Linked DNA regions of Drosophila melanogaster. The protein of the gene in region 1 interacts with the protein of each later gene in a pairwise test. Each region holds a gene or a part of one and is shown in the gene's direction. Other genes may lie near its edges.

Region 1 (7,105 bases):
GCCGTAGACAATTTGACGCTTCCGCCTACTCCAGCAGTTGTGCACTGGGGAAAAATGTTGTTCGAAACGATACAAAAGGTAAGATACTTACAAAATTACTATATTTTTTTGTAACTTTAAAAGCGGCGATTTCCATTGTTAAAGGACTGTGCAATATGATAATTTTATACGAATAATAAATGAAAAAATGTATTGATAACAATTAATAAGGTGTACTTTATAAGTTAAATTCTTTTCAAAACATATATCCAAACTTCTGTATCTATAATTCCAAAGTGTTTTTTCCCAGTGCATAGTCCCCGCCCATCTGGCGCAATCTTATGTAACTTGTCCTCCTCCTCTGACTTATATGTGTCAATTTAATAGCGCATTTGCCACTTTATGACATACGATGCTGCTCCTGGTACTTGGACTCCTTTTCCCAAGTCCCTGGTGTTAGCTCCTTTGTTTTCTCAAGTGCCTGGCAGATTCCACATCGACTCCTTCCACTCCCGCTTGTTTTATAACACAGGAAGATACAACTGGAAAGTATCCGTGAAGGAGAAAAAAATAAGCGGAAAACGCACAGTGTTCATTTGTTATGCTTGTCATTTGTCGCTGGCTGCCGGCGACTTCAAAGCCTGTCACCCAATTTGTTAAACGCGGAGACAATTTTGTCATCAGCTCCCCCAATTCTTTATCCCCAATGCTTTAGTCATCAAATTGAAGCTTTGGCCGCCGGGGAAGAATTCTTGGTTTTCGCATATGGCCAATTATTTTGTAAGTCGATCCATTACGTATCGGAGATTTACTTCTTAGCGTTTGGATTATTTTATTAAAAGATTTACTTAATTGTTTTTAATGATTAAATAAAGCTCTTCAACTTGATCTATTATTATCTATCTAGTATTACTAAATAAAAAGAAAAAAATTGTTTACTCTATGATGATTTTGTGTTTCCCTTTAATCATTTCGTTCTTAAAAGTAAGTAGAAAACTGAACAAGAAAATGCATTGTTTTTACAATATTATTTAAATAATATGTATTTATGTTTATTACAAAATCAAAATGCCAATGTAATAGATACATTTTAAATGTTTTTAAAATTTATATAAAAATTATAAAAAATTAAAAAGACAAGTAATTTAACAATAATGAATTGTATTAGGAGAGTTTAGTTTAAATTTTTTAAAGTACATTGTAACTATAAGAATTATTTGTTTTAAAACAAAGGCAATGTCGGAAATGGCGTTCGTCAAACCACAAAATGCAGGGAAATGCAGTCGGCAATGAGCAGAAATCAGAAAGTGACAGGGAGAGGGCCAATTGGATTCGCAACAAAAGGTATGAGCAGGTAAGCGTAAGCCAACTCAAGGAGGTGTGTCCAACGCGCAACAGTGTGTGTGGGCCAAAACACACACACACGCGCACTAAGTGCACACACAGCCATGCTAAACAGCCAGCGAAGAGAGCGAGCACAACATTAAGAATAGCAAGAGCGGCGATTTGACCATTTTAATGAGGGAATGACAACGACAATTGGCATCTATCATTAAATGGCGGTATTCAGAATTAGTGACAATCAGATGAAGACGGCATTTCTTATAATTAACTCTAACCAAGCAAGACGCAACGCCTCAGCGAGAGTTGGCATCACGCATACGCCGCATTGGCCGGGAGGTGGATCCCTGGGGATCTACGGGGTTAGCTGTCTGTGCCGCTTTATTAGCGATATGGCTTTCTTAATGAACCAAAAATAGATGCACGCGCTCCGAGAATTCCCACAGCCCCGCCCCTTTCCTTTTCCTTCCGTTTCTCTCCTTCTATCCTTCTCCCTCGGCTCCTTTTTCGTCTGCTCCTCATCTGTGTGACACTAAGAAGTCATGACATCGCTCGCCCACCCTGCGTAACGCTACGGATACGCTTACTTGCTTCAGATTGGCCATTCAAGCATTCAGAAATTAACTCCGCCCGGTTGCGTATGCTCACTCACTCGGTTCGGTTCGTCTGTGTAGGTATTGCAGCGGAGAGAGAGCGAGAGTACGAATTCCGATCCATGGATACACCCACACATCCGTTGGCACACAAACACAAAGTTGAGCGACTACAGGAGCGGTAACTGGGGAAAAAAGGAGAGATGGGTTGTTAGCTTAGTTTATTATCCATCAGCAAGAAAACGGAAATATGTTATGATAAATAATAAAAAAATTGTATAGATTATTGTGTATAACTTGATGTAATAAAGTCTTAAAAACCTTCTTCTAAACTTCTGAATTCGATCTCTTTATTAAAATATTTAATTTATATGAACCCTTTACTTTAAACACTTACAAGATATTTCGATACCAAAGTTACTGGCGCCTTAACTCTTCTGGGCTTACCCTCAATTCGCTGCCTGCGCTCCTGATCGCTGAAAGACATTCTTCATTTTTATTATTTGCCCGCGGTCCACCAACAAACGCACACCAGTGCGCGATCATCGCCATTAAAACCCACATATACGCTCGACCGACCGCCCCTTCCTCTCACGGATGAGTGTGTGTGTGCTTGCGGAGGAGAATGCGGAGAGTGAGAAAAAGAGAGAGCGAGATCTTGGGATGCTGCGTCGACGCGGTGGCTTCCACTTCCACTTGAGCCTGTAGATGTGGATGTGACTGTGGCTGTGGTGGTGATATTCAATGTGTGCGTGGACGTGGATTGTGGGCGATCTTGATCGGCAGCGCCGCGGGCAGCGTTAGTCGCAGCAGACACGGGTGACGAGCAGCAACGATCGTTTTTGGAGAGCGCGCCAGGTTTTCCCGATCCAAACCGTTCCCAACCGATACGCTACGACCCGATACGCTAGAGCAAAAAGGCCATCGAAAGATTTAAAGGCGCGCGCACGGATCAGTGAATGCTGTTTAAATCGGTTCATTTGCAAACCATCAATCGCACGGGAGGTCCGCCAGTCAAGTCCAAAGTAAACCGACATAATTCCCAAAATCAAAGCATAACAAACCCATTGTAGTGTCATTAAGTGTGTGTAGTTCCCGCTTCCCCAATAAGGTGTGATAAGTGCGTGATAATTTTCGAGCCAACCTACTCGAGAGCGATCGTTTTGGCCCGAAAATGTGCTAATCAGATCTCAGTCTTGGTTCACGGCATAGTAGGCATCGCAGCCCGATGCTGTCCCGCACAACTGGCGCCAATTTGTATACAAATTTCATGCCTTAATTGAAACTCACATTATAGCCAAGTGCGAAAAGTTAACGACTAGGTAACCACCGACAATCCCCAGCAAAGCAGAGTCCAACTATTCCGGCGAATCCAATCGGAGAAAGTTCCACGGCGGAGTTGGCGAAAGGCAGATTTGGGTGCCCACAATTGCAATTCTGGAGTTCTTCAATCAATTGCCATCGGCCGAAATGGACCCAGGTATGTCTCAATCCATGACTCACAAAGATATAGGCCTCAGAATTCATTTCCAAATTAAAATTTTTAGATCTATCGGCATTTTTGAGGTGCCGACGGCATTGGGTTTCTTTAAAAAGCGTAGTAGCTATTTTATTGATAGATTTGGGTTAATATAATCAGAAAAACAAGAATATGTATATTGCAGGAAATATTGATAAGACTTTTGAAATCACATTTCCCTCTCTATCTTAAAATATAAGGTAACGAAAAGACAAATTCAAAAGTAGCACTATATTTTCACTTAAATCTCTTAACTTAAGCCCGCCACTCGAGTGTTTTGCCAATAAAGCCCTCTTGTCCGATCCTCCAGCCAAGTCCTTATCCGGATCCCCTAACTGCTTGGGATAAACACAATCGCTCGCTGGACCAACTTCTTTTTTTTTTTTTTTTTTTTTTTGGGCAACATCAAGAGGCAGATGTTTGCTTTTGATTTTCGTTTCAAAAGGCTGCCGTCGCTTGGCGCATGATCGACAGCCTCGCGGTAGCCGCGGCACTTGTTTGACTTTCGATGATGTCGCCGACGTCCGCACACGTACCCGATTCCAAAACCCAAAACCCTAAACCGAAAATCCAAAACCCATAACCCCAATCCCAATCCCAAACTCCGGAGCCAAGGCTCCTAATTTAACTAATGATCGTTGTAATGTTTCTGCCTTTGTCGTGCGGTCTTCACTTTTGGCTCCAAGTGTCCGTGTCTCTGTTTGTCCATGTGCTTTGGGCCAAAAGCAAAATGCGAGTGCAAGACATGGCCTTATGGCCGAAAACTACGCTACACAAGTGTGTAAAGATTTGATCAGTTCTCTCAGTTGTTGACAAACATGTGCGCAATCGAATAATTTGGCATGCGTCGATTTACTTTTACAAATTTCGAATTGCTTAGATCATCTTTTGAAATAATTTGCCAATAGTTTTCAATTTCTATGAGTGACATACAAGTGTGACTGACTATGGGTAATCTTTTATAATGGTATTCCCCACTTAGTTTCAAGTATTTATTTGTTTGCTTGAGCCTCTTTATGGCAAAGTATCAAAAGGACATACACGAATATATATTTTTCCACTTGTCCGAGCTGAAAAGAAGTTATAAGTCGGCTAGGAGGTCCCGCACTTTTGGTCCATTAATGACATGCTTTCGATGTTTTGACATTCTGTTTGTACGCCAGCATTGTTTGCTCACTAGGAGACGTCGAAAAAGATATAGACGCCGATGCAGACCCATGCTCATGCCCGAACCCAAACCAAAACCCAGACTCTGGACCAGAGGTGCAGAAATGCGTGACTAACGGCCACCGGTAGCCATCTACTTCGGTAGCTAAACATGAAAAGCCCACCAGACGCGGGCCGCAAGTGCAAGATGTTAAAATCACAGAAGGGGCAGTAAAACAAAAGGCGCAGACGATGGCCACGAAAGGCAGGCAAACACTTGAGATCCGAGGAGGAAAACGTCGCGTCAATGTGTACATGCCTTAATGGAAGAGTCTATATGGTATGGGAGTAGGTGCCCAGGAGCAGCGACTGCGGGAGGATGCGGCGGGGACTGATCTGAAAGCCCGACCAGTAGCTTCCTCCCGTGGATACCGATGATTGCGGTTCGGGTTTGGGAAAACGCTTCACTGCCTCGGCTTGATTGTGTGGCGTCGTTTCCCCTGAGTTCTTTAATTAAATCACATCCCCGACCGCTGATGCGGAACATTCATTAAGCGCATTTGCAGTCATTTTGGGCATTGCTCGGCGAGCTTAAAAAAGTTGCACTAAATAGGCTTTGAGTATAATTAAAACCTCCAAAACCCTTTGCATTTTATCCTTTGAATAGTATGTTCTACTTTTTGTTGTAATATGCTAGGTTTCTCACTGTAGATCAGTTGACATTTGCTCCCTTTGGGCGTGGACATCTCCCCATGGATCCACAACCTCTGACATCTGACAAGTGTAGTTCATGTTCTTGGAAGCAAACTCAGCTCATTACCATATATTTAATGAGTTTCTAATCGTTAGGGGGCACGTGTTTGAGCCAGTTCATTCTGGGATAATGAATGCGATCGCATCAATAAGCGGGCGGCTAACATCTGGTTCTAACCCCTAACCCCTAGACTCTAACCCCTTGAGATGGCCTGTGTCAAGTCCCATGGGGGCGATGGCGACCCAAAACCGGAACTGCCACAATCATTCCAAACTCCATTTCTCAGTCTCGAATTTGGAGTCCTAGGATCAGAGCTGTGAAACTGGCTATTTTCCAGCTAGCTCTAGAAGTTCATTTCATACAATAAAATGATATGAAATTATGTAGCTAAAGGAAATTAAAGGGTTTGTTGTTAAAAGATAGTTTACCGCTAAACAATACAATAACAATTCCATGTAAGTGCCTCAGCTACTTTCCGAATCCCTAGTGGGCAGGATTGGGGAGTGGGTGAGCTGGTGCACATGTGGTTAGATTTATATGCATCTCGCCGCTGTCAGCGAAGGGCGTTGCACATTGCTCGAGTGCCGGCGAACCCGAACTGCAGCGGAGTTGTCGGTTCTAGTACATTGCCAATGATTGGTCGGATGCGTTGGATCTCCTTTGGGCCTGTGGGACGGGATCGGAACTCTGGCCATGGGTTTGCCATCGACATCGAGCACATTTCGGCTACGCACTCGCATTGTGCGCATTCCTCGTACGCGTAATTGAAGTCGCTGCGGCATCTTCCCTTTGGTTTTTTCTTTTTTTTTTTCGGCTGGGCCGCACCCCTTTCGAGTTCCTCGAGCTCGCTGGCTAGAGCCGTCATATTTGCTAGCCTCCTCCAACTGGGCCCCATCTACCAGTTTTCCGAAGGGGGCGGAAGAAAGGAGCTAGTGCGTCGCTATCTTGGCGGTGGCTGTCGTGATTTATGGACTCATTAATTTCTGTTGACAGACAATGCTGTTGACGCCGCAGGAATCTATTTAGCTTTATGTACTTTTGATTCCCACTTGCTGGGGCGCCTATCTTATGGGCTCCATTTATAATTCGAGGCGCTTGCACTTGATCTGAAAACGGAAATACGCGAGCAGATGGCAAGCTAGATCGAGACACTTAAAATTTCTCTAAAATGCCAGTTACCAGCTATTAGCGTTCCTTGGGGAAAGTAGCCGTAAGGAGTTGCATTTCTTCGTCTGGTTCAAAGCAGATTCGATAGATGTTAAGTAAACATAAAGCGATGCCAATCATGACTCTTTTCCATTGATAACACTTGGGATTGAACTCTGCAGCAGATTAAAAAGGAAAATGGCATTGCCAGCGGATCAAAGTGACAGACGTAGAGTGGCTTCCTCTTTCTCTTGGCGCGACGATTCTGTGAAATTCACTGATAAATAAATGCGATTGTGCGGCAAATTGTGCAACGCTCCGAATGCAAAATTGTCGACAAGCTCTCGCGTAGTTAGTGTAGAACCAAAAAAAAAAAAAAAAAAATTAAAACCCAACTATTTATAAGTCGATGAGGACCGCAACAATGTGGGCAACCAACTAAAGAGTGAAAAGGGGCGGGCCACATGGCGTATACGCGACGCGTTGGCTGAGCCTCAGCTCAAGTCAACTGAGTTGTTAAATTAATTTTTTCTGCATACCGAATGCATATAAATTTATATATGCTGCAAGCAACCGGCGGCAGAATTAAGAAAATAAACATATGAAGGCATCTCCCCACCGCGATGT
Region 2 (3,624 bases), 4.6 Mb from region 1:
ATTATTCACGCGGCTCTTACCGCCTCTGATTTTTCCCCCATTTTCCAACCCCTGTTCTCTTAAACATGCATGTATGCATTCGCCTAGATGTTGCTCGTAAACTTTGCAATTATGCAAAGCAAAGGCCATGTTGGCCGAGACTTACAACAAGCCATGTATTTTTGATGGTCATAAAAAAAAGTACGCAAAATGATCACTCAATGCCCCTCGCCGCCAAAGGACGATGTCGACAAGCACTGGCCAGGCAATCAAAGTTGGCAACTACTTTGCAAGTTTTGGCCAATGTTTTATGGAAGGGCGAAGGTTATGCCAGCCAGATACTTAAAAACACAAATATTCCAACTCCTTCAAAATATTTTCGCCTAGAAGTCAAGGCAGTGAAAAGCATTTGAAATGCCCTTTCGATGTAACTCTGCATTTCAAATAAAACGAAACATTTCAGGGCAACGATGCAATTACCTTTTTAAGCCTGCGAAAAAGATTCTTTGTTTAATTTGGTCTGATATTGATATTGCGATTTTTAATATGATTTCTGGGTAAAAACTGCAAAAAATTGGATCGATTTTACATTACTATTATTTTAACTGAATCACATCACTTATGGTATTTAAAATAGTTCCGATTTCTTGCTCTATTGTTGTTGTTCGAGCTCATAAATTTCTTCATTATAAAATAAATATTATTTCTATTGTATCTACCACATCTTCTTTTTAATCTCCTTAATCTAATATCTTTTTTTATCAGTTAAAAAATGATTTTTTTTATTTTAAATTAGTACAATTTTTTTTCAGTGAACGCGGTGACAAATTTAAGTGAAATAATCAATCGGACCAGGGCCTTAAACTGTGTTGCAAGGTTCTCCCAGCAGGATCCGCGTGCGATGCCACTTTGAATAATTATTGGCGCAGAGACAGAAAGTCAATCAGTGGGAATGCAGCGGGCAATTTAATACAATTGCGGGCCAAGGCGCTTATTCAATTAATTACTTGAAACAGTGCGTCAAAAAGCGGGCAAGTAATGCAGAAAAAGCCGAGTAATTATTTTACACTTTGCTACCGCTGCCGTTCGACGATTTTCCACCATTTTCCACTTGCCCGCGACGCAGATTCAGCATTTTGATGAAGTTTTTCCACGACACAGTCAGTTGTACGCCCAGTCGGTCATTCCATCTGTCGCCTGTGCATAATAAAGTTTACTTTAAGTTTGTTAAATCCATGCCCACCAGTAATGTGACCCACTTTTCAGGTTGGCACGTGTAATTATCGACATCTCATTAAATGAAATCAAAGACAGGCCCAGCAAAAGGCAATATAAATTCGCATAAATTCGCTACGGCGCTTTAAATGTCAAGTGGTGGGGCTCGTCCATCGATTTTTCTGCCTCACTGGCTGCTGGGGTCATTTATCAATATGTAGATTTTCCACGGAAAGTTCAATGGGTCCGGAGGACACACATACGCACTATACACTATACACATGGACCCCCGTATAAATTGCGTAATTTTTTTTACACGCACACACAATTGGAGATAAATTGACTGATATGCATGTTGTGGGCCACCGTCGTCTGTCTGTCTGGCAGTTTGATGGATGCGTCTGCCTGGAAAACTGTCCTCCTACACGCCCACTTTCACTTTTCTGCTCTTTGATTTTTTCTTTAAATAAATCGACGCCCCAAGCCACTTCCACTTCCGGTGACTGCACTTAAATGCCAGACGAAAGCGTAATGGCATCAATTTCCTTCAGGCCAAAATTTAAATGTGTCTAAATCTAAAATATATTATCAGCCAAGATACATATCAATTTCATGTTCCGAAGGAATATACTGTCTGAAATATTACATGATTTCAATTAAACCATAATTCAAATAAATTTTTAAGAAGAGAAAACTATTTAATCACATCTTTAATGCTTTTCCCTTCAATTAGTAGCAGTTAGTTTATTGTTTATATTTATTGTTGTTACTTTATATTGAGTTCTTTGCGTTGCTTTCACATGTTCTTGTATCAATACCAGCAAAGATGAAGTTGGACCTTACCATGAACGACCGTTTCAATCAGCGGTTTCAGTCGGTTTATGGCGGACTTGTTCCCCAGATCGCCCGACTGGTGCCCTTCAACGACTCTGAGGTGACCTGCATCCTGATGATCTACTACAAGTATAGTCTCCAGAATGGGCCCTCTGCTCGCCGAATAACATCCAGCCAGTTTGTGAACATTGTGATCGGTTTCCAGCAGCTATATGACATGGACGTGGTGGATCGCATCGTAACCCTAATCGCAGGTGGCAGGAAACACGTGACGCCCATGGAATTTGTCAACTACATGACCATTCTAATGTCCCGCGACATGGAACGGAAAATGGAATTTGCATATATGGTAATGGGAATGTACACGATACATTTGTTTTTTTTTTTTTTAATTTTTCAATTAGGTTTACGACAAAAATGGCATGGGTATTAATAGAGAGATCATTTCATCTTCGGTCGAGAGGTTTTTCGTCGGCGACGACGACGAGGTACTCGAGATGCGACTGGTGAGCTGGAATTTACCAACTTCAAGCCCTCATTCAATCTGTTGCCCAATTAGGACATGGTCGATTTTCTACTCCTCAAATTTGATGAAGACCAAGACGGCTACATCTCATTTGAGGAGTATAGATCGATCGTGTTGCAGCAGCCGCGTCTGCTGGAGTTTCTGGGTCCCATCTTTCCCTCGGACGAGACGCGTCTGGTGGTGGCGTACTGCACTGCCATATACTCTCACATACCCGAAATGGGTACGTTGTAGGTATGATTGCAGAAGGGTATGTGGCATTTTGCCAGAACTCCGCCAGTCACATAAATCTTTGAGGCACAAATAAATCGAAAGCAATGCAAATCAGTGCGCCCCGCCACCGCGTTTTTCTCTGTTCAGCCATTGTAGCCACTCGAAAATGTCAATGACAATGATGATGAACTGCAGAATAGAGCGCTGACAGCTGCAACGAGACGCTGGATAGATGGATAGATGGATGGAGCATATATAGGGGACACCAGCTGTCTCTCGACCACACGGGGAAAAATATTAAAGATTACGATGGAATACTTAACATAAATATCAATAAAATAGAGTAACAATACTTTCAATTCACAGCTTACAATTCATTTTTGTATATTTATGTTTAAATGTTTAATTCATTTAAACTGGCTAAAAAATTAATAATTTATTATTGCCATACAAAATGTATAAACATAAATTCTTTAGGTATTCCAAAATACGATGTACACAGATTTGATTTAAGATGTACAGTATAATATTATAAAAACTAACTATTAATTTTATTACATTTCACAGATGTAAGTAACTTATTTAAAATGGCAATAGAATTTTATACTTTTGAGTTATTGTTTTGATGTTATTCCTAGTGTAGCCCGCTTTAGTGACATAATTTTAAATACGGAGCGCAGCTCCAGAAATACTTTGCTATGGTTGAATGCTCCACTGGCTCGACGACTGCCTTTTGCCACTGCCTCATGACAGCTTGATTTGTTGGCAGTTGGCATACAATTGACATTTGATGGATGGTGTTCTACATTGTCGGGACATTCTCCAATCCAGGCTTCCAACTGCAGCCACTGCAGGCC

What was found. The genes of interacting proteins can lie anywhere in the genome.
Region 2: the proteins of Poxm (region 1) and d-cup interact in a two-hybrid assay, tested with the Drosophila melanogaster proteins (one large-scale study listed by BioGRID).

What each region holds. Positions count from the first base shown.
Region 1 is NT_033777.3:8,329,403-8,336,507, reverse strand, and holds the start of Poxm (Pox meso), read left to right. Parts: upstream 1-2,715; 5' UTR 2,716-3,383; coding exon 3,384-3,393; intron 3,394-7,105.
Region 2 is NT_033777.3:12,890,035-12,893,658, forward strand, and holds d-cup (davis-cup), read left to right. Parts: upstream 1-1,921; 5' UTR 1,922-2,020; coding exon 2,021-2,377; exon of another isoform or gene 2,378-2,432; coding exon 2,433-2,534; intron 2,535-2,587; coding exon 2,588-2,788; 3' UTR 2,789-3,124; downstream 3,125-3,624.